3 linked regions of the Ovis aries genome follow. The protein of the gene in region 1 interacts with the protein of each later gene in a biochemical or structural test. Links are inferred from orthologs where the notes say so. Each region holds a gene or a part of one and is shown in the gene's direction. Other genes may lie near its edges.

What was found. The genes of interacting proteins can lie anywhere in the genome.
Region 2: the proteins of GRIP1 (region 1) and THRA form a complex in vitro, tested with the Homo sapiens proteins (2 studies listed by BioGRID). The link is inferred for Ovis aries from reciprocal best matches to the Homo sapiens genes GRIP1 and THRA.
Region 3: the proteins of GRIP1 (region 1) and CARM1 form a complex in vitro, tested with the Homo sapiens proteins (2 studies listed by BioGRID). The link is inferred for Ovis aries from reciprocal best matches to the Homo sapiens genes GRIP1 and CARM1.

What each region holds. Positions count from the first base shown.
Region 1 is NC_056056.1:153,636,247-153,639,775, forward strand, and holds the end of GRIP1 (glutamate receptor-interacting protein 1), read left to right. Parts: intron 1-1,484; coding exon 1,485-1,712; 3' UTR 1,713-2,927; downstream 2,928-3,529. UniProt on the Homo sapiens protein: May play a role as a localized scaffold for the assembly of a multiprotein signaling complex and as mediator of the trafficking of its binding partners at specific subcellular location in neurons.
Region 2 is NC_056064.1:40,135,703-40,139,424, forward strand, and holds the end of THRA (thyroid hormone receptor alpha), read left to right. Parts: intron 1-823; coding exon 824-970; intron 971-1,553; coding exon 1,554-1,812; intron 1,813-2,437; coding exon 2,438-2,688; 3' UTR 2,689-3,378; downstream 3,379-3,722.
Region 3 is NC_056058.1:13,195,342-13,198,148, forward strand, and holds part of CARM1 (histone-arginine methyltransferase CARM1), read left to right. Parts: intron 1-1,231; coding exon 1,232-1,317; intron 1,318-1,518; coding exon 1,519-1,608; intron 1,609-2,025; coding exon 2,026-2,163; intron 2,164-2,245; coding exon 2,246-2,335; intron 2,336-2,416; coding exon 2,417-2,529; intron 2,530-2,643; coding exon 2,644-2,721; intron 2,722-2,807. UniProt on the Homo sapiens protein: Methylates (mono- and asymmetric dimethylation) the guanidino nitrogens of arginyl residues in several proteins involved in DNA packaging, transcription regulation, pre-mRNA splicing, and mRNA stability.

The sequences.
Region 1 (3,529 bases):
TGGACTGCTGTAGGGTGAAGAAAGGGAGGATCACAGGAAAGGAGACCAGGGGGTAAGGGTAAGACGTTTGTACCAGACCTGAGCCTTTAATGCCTTCTGTGCATCCTGGTGGAGCAGTCTGTAAGGCAGCTTACAGTCTACATTTGTTGCTTAAGAGAGATGTTAGAGCCAAAACTAAAGATTAGGAATACTGAACACATGGATTTGGTTAAAGTTGCCTAGGGTGGATTTCTAGTAAGAGAACTAAAGACAGAACTCTAAGGAAAACAAAATTTAAAGGATAGGATGAAGTAAAGGTGGGAAAGGGCTGAAAGTGAGCAGTTAAAATGGTACGAAGGTCAGAGCAATGTGGTGTCATCAGAGCCAAGGAAGGAGTTTTCAGGATGAGTAGGTGTCAAGAGTGGCTAAAGGGGATGAGCACTCAAAACACCATTCCTATGTTGAACAACTGGGATCATTTATACAATATAAGGCTTCCCTGGTTGCTCAGCGGTAAAGAATCTGCCTGCCAATGCAAGAGACACAGGTTCAATCCCTGGGTCGGGAAGATCCCCTGGAGAAGGAAATGGCAAGCCACCCCAGTATTCTTACCTGGGAAATCTCATAGACAGAGGAGCCTGGCAGGCTACAGTCCATGGGGTCACAAGAGAGTCGGACATGACTTAGCAACTAAACAACAACAATACGATATAATGGTCAGGTCCCAAACTGAGAAGATGGGAGAGAGAATGAAAAGTCAAGGCCTGGGAGGAAGCAGCATGGAGAGATGGTTTTTAAACTTGCAGTGGGGGTGGGAAGAATAAGGAAACGTGAAAGATGAGCACACGTACAAGCTCCAAAGGGGCTAGGATCATGAGAACTGCTGAGAGAGGTGGTTCAGTATCATCAAGAGCACGAGTTGTGGGGGACTTCCCCAGCAGCCCACTGGTTAAGACTCTGCCTTGCAATGCAGGGAGCATGGGTTCAGTGCCCGGTCTGGGAGCTAAGCTCCCACATGCTGCAGGGTGCGGCCAAAAATGTTTAAACAGAAAGAAAACAAAAAACAAAGCACAGCACAAACTTCGGAATCAGCCAGACTGCCTGAGGTCACATCTTTGCTGGACCACTCACCAACATCCTCTCTGGACCACTTACCAACTGCTGGTCTTAGGCACTTCTCCTAACCATTATGTGCCTCACTTTCCTCGTCTGTAAATTGGGGATGACAGCACTTTGGAGCACCTGCCATGAGTAAGGCTATTTGCTCAGCTGGGGGATGTTACATGTGTCCCTGCTCCCTGCCATCCAGGGCCTTACAGTTTAGTAGCAGAAAATACGTAAGCTTATGCCCCTCTTATAGTGTGCTCAGGGCTGGGATAGACTCTCTGTACAGAGTGCTCATTTAAGCACTTTCGAGACTCTTCTCAACCTGTTTTATCTGAAATGTTACTCTGGGTTTTGGGAATTATAACAATAATTCACCATGGTGCTTCTTGCCATTTCAGGTTAACCATGTCCGAACAAGAGACTTTGACTGCTGCCTTGTTGTACCCCTCATAGCGGAATCTGGTAATAAGCTGGACCTGGTGATTAGTAGAAACCCCCTGGCTTCACAGAAGTCCTTAGAACACACTCTACCAGGAGGAGAATGGAGCGAGCAGAACAGTGCTTTTTTCCAGCAGCCGAGCCACGGTGGTAATTTGGAGATACGAGAACCCACTAATACACTATAGCAACGCTTTTTATAAAGCGGGACAAAAGACGATATCTACATGGTGCTAAAAAAAAAAAAAAAATCCCATTAAGATTTCTGTGACATCTGAAGCACAGATAATCACGTGGCATTAACTGCAAGCACAGGGGTCTTTTAAATCTCTCATGGCTCATGTTCACTTCCCTTTTCAAGTTGAAGAGGTTTCTTTGTTGGTGATCATTATGGTATATGCCAGGCAATCCCCTGCCAAACCCAATGGTAGAGAAAAAGAAAAACAGGCCACCCCTCTCTACAGTTAACATCAGAGGACATTTGTTCACAAGTCCATCTTCCTGTTCCTTTTTAAAAAGAGAAATGTCTGTTTGAAAATATTCTCTAATTTCCTTAATTCACTTTGAAATCAGTTTCTTACTACAAAGTTATTCATGTAAGAATTTAACTGACAAGGCTTTTCATAAAGCTGGCTCTGCTAGAACTAGTCTGGTGAGCTGCTGGGACTGCTGCTATGGGAGGGGTACAGGTATAAAATTATCTTACGACGTTTCAGCAACGGTGCACGTAGGAGACCATAATAGGTGGTGGTACATGTTTTGCCCAAGTATAGGAATGATTTTAACTAAGATGTATGCTATTCCCTATGCAACAAATCATCAAACAGGATATGTCTTGTGACCTGTTTTTTGGGTTGTTTTTTTTTTTTAAGGACACATTTTTTAATAGCTGAAAACTCTCTGGTAATGAATTAGGGTGTTTAGTAACACTGAGAATTAGTTAAATTATCTTATTTTTAAAATTCAAGACTAAGAATTTAAGAGAGAATGAAGAGTCTATTAAAATGAGGTTTATCTTAAGGATAGGCAAATGAAACTCATACTGCTTGACATGTTTTGAAAACTGGTTATACTGAGGGGTGTACAGCACATGTACGTAAATGACTCTGGACTGTCTTTTGTTCTGAGCCATGCCACTGATTGAAATTGTAAATACATTTTCACAAAATGCATTGCCAATTATTACCATCCCCCAAAGCAATAAACTGTGACAGTTGCTTTTAATGTCTGTCAGCAACTGTTTTCATTTGTTCAGATATTTTGAATAGTTACACTAATAACTGTTATTTGGTGAATATTAAAAAAAAATAGATCTGTATATTGATTGTAGAATCTCCATACTGAAAAATTATTTTCCAAACATTTTTATTTTGGTCAATAATTAAAACAACTGCTTAAGTAAAGCATCTGAACACTGTGTCCTTTGTTTAAGGAAAAAGTTCACCTTTTGTTTCTGTGCAAAGAAATATATTATTTCAATCATATTTCAGAACCGCCAGGGCAAGAAAGTATAAAGCAGAATCATGTTAAGAAAAAGATCATGAGTCACTTAAATATGTATTTTTATTTGTAACAAACAAGTATTAAACTGTAAAGTATTTTTGTACAAATTTAATACTTTAATAGCATGGTATTTATCGTCTATGTATGGTTTTGGGGAATTCAAAACTGTTGCAAATATTTGTATGGGAATAAAAAAAACCCTCTACCAAATGGAATAAACAGTGATTTTAAAAAGCCAAAAAAAAAAAAAAAATGACCTTCTTTTTTGGTGCTTTGGATATATTTTAGTGTTCTATACTGAGTCCTACTCAACACTAATGATTGCATAATTTTCTAAAGGAGGAAGGTTTTGCCATAAACTTGAAAAGCATCATGGAAGAGAAGAACTATGGTTTTGATATTTGATCTGGGTTTGAATTCCAGCTCTGATACTCACTGGGAGTATGAAACTTACTTTCTTGAGTCAGTCTTCCCTCCTGTGATACTGAGGGTCATATATACA
Region 2 (3,722 bases), on another chromosome or scaffold:
GCTTGGCAGTTCTGATTTGTACACCTGTGTATGTGTTACTGCCTTTTCCATCTGATTTGATGAGGGCAGGGCCTTGCCTCATCAAATTTCCAGTGAAGTGGGGAGGATCTCTCCCCCTTTTTCCACAGTGACTGGGAGGCAGGGGCAAGGACACAGTCATGGGACAGTATCTTGAGGAGCCTCCTGGGTGCCACATGTTGTTTTGGGCCTTGGCAAAGCTGAATGCCAAGGAAATGGTCAGCGTGGGAGGAGATGGACAGTTGGTTGTGTATGGCGGGGGAAGGCAGAGAACTCCTGATGGCTGGAGTGTGTCAGCGGGTGAAACAGTACACTGGAAGGAGCACCAGCTCTGAAAGCGAGCACATGTGTGTGTAATGGTTCAGATCCTGTTTCCACCGCTTACTAGGCTCTCGACCTGGGCTTATTACTTAGCTGCACTCTATCTGTTTCCTCATCTGTGAAATGGTGATAAGTATAACATCAACTAGTGGTGATAAGTCATGGTGAGGATTAAATGAGATAATATGTGTAAAACACATGGCCTAATTCCTAGCTACATATTAGTCAAATGTAGCTTCTGTTGTTATGGCATTGCCGCTACTGGTGTTACGATCCTTGTTCTTATTAGCCATCTTGGAGCTCTGGTGCTAGTTTGTTCTCTGTGGCGAGGTGGGAGAAGCCCTAGGCCTGGGACACAGAGTCCCTAGGTGCGGTGGCCCCCGTTTCCCCAAGCTGCCTTGGAGCTCCCCCTGGTGGGCAGGGAGCCTCAGTGAGTGGTTGAAAGGGGTCTGCAGCCCCAACTGACCCCCATCTCTCCCTCTAGCCGGACGACATCGGCCAGTCACCTATCGTCTCCATGCCAGACGGAGACAAGGTGGACCTTGAGGCCTTCAGCGAGTTTACCAAGATCATCACCCCGGCCATCACCCGCGTGGTGGACTTTGCCAAAAAACTGCCCATGTTCTCCGAGGTGAGTGATGGATGGGAGGAGAGACCTGGTGTCACACTGGAGGGAAGCCTTGGGCTGCTCCCCGGGTCCCCCAGTCCCAGCTCATCCTTCTCTGAAGCTCTCTGGACAGGGAGCAATTCCTATGGGTCAACACACCCAACACACACCCATGCACGCACACACGCATGCACAGGGTGAGCTGATTCCTAAGAACTAACAGGCTCCATGGGCCCAGCCCTGCACCCCCAGCCTCCCCCTGCCCATCTCCCCGCAAGTCTACGTGACCATCCTGACTCTGGAGATTCTTATTTTAAAGAGCTCTAACTCTGTGGACAGGCTGCCCTACTGGCTTGAGAGCTTGGCTACATGGCCTAACTCCCTAAACCTCCCTTTGCTCATCTGCAGTGGGCATGGAGGTAATGACAGGACCTAACTCAGAGACCTAGTTGTGAGGGTTAGTGAAGCAAGGTAGGTCTGCCACCCAGTGCAAGGGTAGCTGTCCAGAGTATGTGTTCCCGGTTGGTGGTGGCCTCGCAGTTCCCAGGGGCGCCTTCAGGGGACACTCATGGGGAGGGTCATGCTGAGTGTTCCTGTGACTCTGCAGCTGCCTTGCGAAGACCAGATCATCCTCCTGAAGGGGTGCTGCATGGAGATCATGTCCCTGCGGGCAGCTGTCCGCTATGACCCCGAGAGCGACACCCTGACGCTGAGCGGGGAGATGGCCGTCAAGCGGGAGCAGCTCAAGAATGGTGGCCTGGGTGTCGTCTCTGACGCCATCTTTGAACTGGGCAAGTCACTCTCTGCCTTTAACCTGGATGACACGGAAGTGGCTCTGCTGCAGGCTGTGCTGCTAATGTCAACAGGTACCTAGCCTGGCTGGGTGGGCTCCGGAGCTTCCAGGGCCCAAGACCTTGGCTGGGCCCCAGGCTTGTCCTTCTTTAACCCCTCAGTCTCTCTGCTCCCCAAGCCCACCTCTCTGTCCCCCAAGCTTATCCCTGTCCTCAGGCCCATCCTCTGTCCACTGTCCCCTACTCTGTCACCCATCCCCCCTCTGTTCTCTCCAGGCCCATCTCTAGCTTCCCACGCCCTCTTCTATCCTGGCTTCATTTTTCACCTCTGCCCCACATCTGCTCTCTGTCTCTCATAGTCCCCTTTGTTCCCCACCCTTGACTCTGTTCCCATCCACCTTCTCTTCCCCTCCCTCCTCTGTTCTCAGTACCCCTGTCCCTGCCCCCAACCTCCTCCTACTCCTCTGCCCACCCCACCTCTCCACCCCCTAGGCCTGCCTCATCTCCTAGTCTCCTCCCTTCCCAGGCCCACCTCTGACTCCTCTGTCTGCTTTACCAGCCCCTCCACCGGCTTTGCCCTGTGCTTGCCCCCGACTTGCTCCCTGCCCCCGCAGAATGCATGTTTTTCTCCATTCTCCCCCAGCCTCTCGGCCTCTGCCCCCCTGCACCCTCTTAGCCTCGTGCCCCTCCTTCCCTGCAGACCGCTCGGGCCTGCTGTGTGTGGACAAGATTGAGAAGAGTCAGGAGGCGTACCTGCTGGCGTTCGAGCACTACGTCAACCACCGCAAACACAACATTCCGCACTTCTGGCCCAAGCTGCTGATGAAGGTGACTGACCTCCGCATGATCGGGGCCTGCCACGCCAGCCGCTTCCTCCACATGAAAGTCGAGTGCCCCACCGAACTCTTCCCCCCACTCTTCCTCGAGGTCTTTGAGGATCAGGAAGTCTAAAGCCTCAGGCGGCCAGAGGGTGTGCGGAGCTGGTGGGGAGGAGCCTGGAGAGAAGGGGCAGAGCTGGGGGCTGAGGGAGACCCCCACACCTCTTCTCTCCTCCCTCTCATCCTTGGATAGATTCAGCTCCCCACACACACCCCCACACTGCCCTGTCCCTCCTCAGAACCTCCAGCCCTGGGACAGGGCAAACAAATGAACTTGCTATGAAAAGGACAGTGTGGGAGGCGGGCGGGGGGACCGTGTCCTGCAGTTCCCAGGACCCTGTCCTCTGAGAAGGTAGGAGAAGGGAGGGAGAACTAAGAGCGGACAAGCCATCTTGACCGTAGGGGATAGAGGAATGTGGGGTGGGGGCAAAGGCCCTCACTCACCCCCTACACACACACACACACACACACACACACACACACACACACACACACACGAGAGAGCCCCCTTGCCCAGTCTCTTGGCCTAGGTCCCCCCTCCAGGCTGAGGGCCTCTCTGCTTCCCCAGATGCCTGGTGCAAAGAAAGGCTTGGCTTGGCTCCTCCCCTGGAGGTTAAAAATTACAGTCATTCTAACTGCACTTTGGAAACCAGGCAAGGGGAGAAGATAAATGAAGAAATACTAGACAGAGGAAAAAAGAGCGAGCGACTGATAGAGAGATGATATTAAGTTATTAACTGAGGCTGGCCAGAGGGGAGGACCCCCCCTCCCACCCCCGAGCACTTTGAGAGCTGCCCCTCCTCCCCCCAAATCAGAGAGAACTGCCCCCCCCCACATCAGGTCCCCAAGGGTAGGGCTGCCATCAGAGCTGTGAGCTAATACAGCAGGGTCCTGGCCACGCCCCCTTGCCTTGCCCCTCCCTCTGTGCCCTTTGGCACCCCCCCGCCCCAGTACTCCCTCTGCTCTCTGCCACTCGTGCCCGCTGAGTTCCATCTACCTCTCACTCTGGATGCCAGCTGGCCCCTCACCAGCCTGCCCTGCTGCCCGCACAGCTCCCCTTTCAAGTGCCCAGCCCCGGGGGCCTCTCCCTGTCACCCCCCTTCCTCT
Region 3 (2,807 bases), on another chromosome or scaffold:
AGTCTTCATGGTCTTAGTGAGTCTGGTGGTTCACAGGGCCCCTGTCCTAGCCTCCCAGTTCCAATATGGTGCTGAACCATATTTCAATTAAAAATTAAAAATCATATTAAAAAAAAGATAGCTTCATTAAAAAAAATCTTATTTCTATTTTAATGGGGCAGTAAATGCATTTGTTCAGTCAGCCATCTTTAGTATTTTTTTTAAAGAAGTCTGCTTATTTAATGTAATTATTTGGCTGAGTTGCATGGCCTGAGGGATCTTGGTTCCCTGACCAGGGATTGAACCTGTGAGCCCTGCAGTGGAAATGTGGAGTCTAAACCACTGGACCGGCGGAGAAGTCCCTTTGCTTTAGCTTTTTAATCTCATAGAAGCATCTTTCTGCTTGGTTCCCTACCTCCATCCCACATGTAGCTCAAAAACTGGCAAATGCCAAGAACTAAAATCACATGTGCAGTGTCCACCTCGAATCTCCACATTTCCTTTTTATTTAGCAGCTTGGCCCCTTGAGTCCTAGCTGCCTCAGTAATCCCGAGTTCCCACCTGGCTTTCCCCACACAGGGAGGCCTCTGAAGGGCCCCACCCCAAGGGGAAAGGCACGTGTCGAAAAGCACCTCTCCTCTAAGGTCTTGGCCCCAAAGCCATGGCTGCTGTGGTTGCTCTCCAGTGATTTCAGACTACTGTTGTTGTTGGTTTTCTTTTTTATTCAGTTCATATAGTTCTTGGCAGTCTGACATGAGATCTCTGTCATAGCTGTGAGTGGTGTCAGCATAGTTCTCTCACTTGATTTTTGTGAAGTTGCATAACAGTTTATCTTGGAGATCTTTCCCCATCTATTCCAAAGAGCCTTTTTGTCCTTTTTCACACGCATGATCTTTCACTGTTGGGCCATCACTAGTGTAACTTCCAGGGTGTTTCTGCTCTTGGCAGTCTGTAATTATGGGTAGAAGTTTTGTACACGTGCACATAGGTTTGTAGGTTACAATCCCTGAAGTGGAACTGCCGAGTCTTTCATGCAGATGAATAGTTGTCATTTTGAGAGCTGTCACCTAATCGCCCTCCATTGTGTTAGACCAGTTCCTCCTCCCCCAAGCATGGCTGAGAAGGGCAAACTGCAAACTGGTTTGAGCCAAATGGCCTAGAGGCTGCAGCCAGACTCTGGAAGAGGGGCGGGCTTCCCCTTCTCCTCACAGCCCCTGTGCCTGAAGCCAGGTCACTCTCTGCTCTCTCCCAGGACACATTTGACATCCGGATCCTGATGGCCAAGTCCGTCAAGTACACGGTGAACTTCTTAGAAGCCAAAGAAGGAGATTTGCACAGGTACCAGCAGCCCTCCACCCCTGGCACCCCGACCTCCTGGGCTTAACTTCTGGAGATCAGGGCCACTGCCAGCTCCCTTGGACAGAACCTTGCCTCCCAGGCTGGGCGGGCCGGGGCCCCACACCCAACACCCCCACATCCCCCTCCTCTCCCAGAAGCCCTGGTTCAGCTTCCCCAGCAATCACTGCCTTTGCCTTACAGGATAGAAATCCCATTCAAGTTCCACATGCTGCATTCCGGGCTGGTTCACGGTCTGGCTTTCTGGTTTGATGTCGCTTTCATCGGCTCTATGTGAGTGCAACCAAGCAGAGCAGGTGGCCCCCCCACTCCAGCCCCAGGTGGTAACTCCAGGTCTGGCTGGCTCAGATGATGCACTGGGGGCTGGGAGGGCCTGACTCAACTCCGCTGGGTGCTACTGCTCCTTGCAGAAGGCAGTGGGAGCTGGCCTTCGAGCAATAGACTATTGGGGGTAGGGTCGTCTACCCTGTTCAAAGTGACTATTCCTCGCGGGACCTGATTGTGTCTCTTGGCGTGTATATCCGGGCGAGTGGGCGTAGGTAGAACTTCCTGGACAGCCAGCCTGTCTCCGCTCCAGGGGACCCCTGGGTGGTGGGGGCCGGGGGTGGGGGGTAGGTGCCTGAGGAGAGCTCAAAAGGCACAAGGTGGGGGTCTAGCCCAGTCAAGGGCATGCCTGTCCCTGCTTGGCAGAATGACCGTGTGGCTGTCCACGGCCCCGACGGAGCCCCTGACCCACTGGTACCAAGTCCGGTGCCTGTTCCAGTCGCCACTGTTCGCCAAGGCTGGGGACACGCTCTCAGGGACATGTCTGCTTATTGCCAACAAAAGGTGCGAGCAGCCCCAGGGGCGGGGGCAGCAGGGGCTCGCTCCCTCCAGGCAGCCAGCTCACGGCCACCCTCCTGCCCCACAGACAGAGCTACGACATCAGTATTGTGGCCCAGGTGGACCAGACAGGCTCCAAGTCCAGCAACCTCCTGGACCTGAAAAACCCATTCTTCAGGTAGGACGGGCCCTGGGCCTGCGGGGGGCGCCCTCCTCACCCGCTGCCCCTCGCCCTGCCCACGGGCCGTCTCTGCCGCAGATACACAGGCACGACACCCTCCCCGCCGCCTGGCTCCCACTACACTTCCCCCTCGGAGAACATGTGGAATGCCGGCAGCACCTACAACCTCAGCAGTGGGATGGCTGTGGCCGGTGAGCAGCCCACTTGTGCGTGGGGTGGGGGTGGGGGCAGGGTCCTTCCCTGGTGCCCCCGCCAGTGCTGGCCCGTCGAGCCCTCCTGCCCTGACCTCTCCTTCCCCGGTGCAGGAATGCCGACCGCCTACGACCTGAGCAGTGTTATTGCCGGAGGCTCCAGTGTGGGCCACAACAACCTGATTCCTCTAGGTGAGCCCACGGGGGTGGGTGCGCCCAGGACCACCGTGAGCTTGGGCCTCCTGCCTTACCACCTTTGCTTCTTCCCCGGGAGCTGA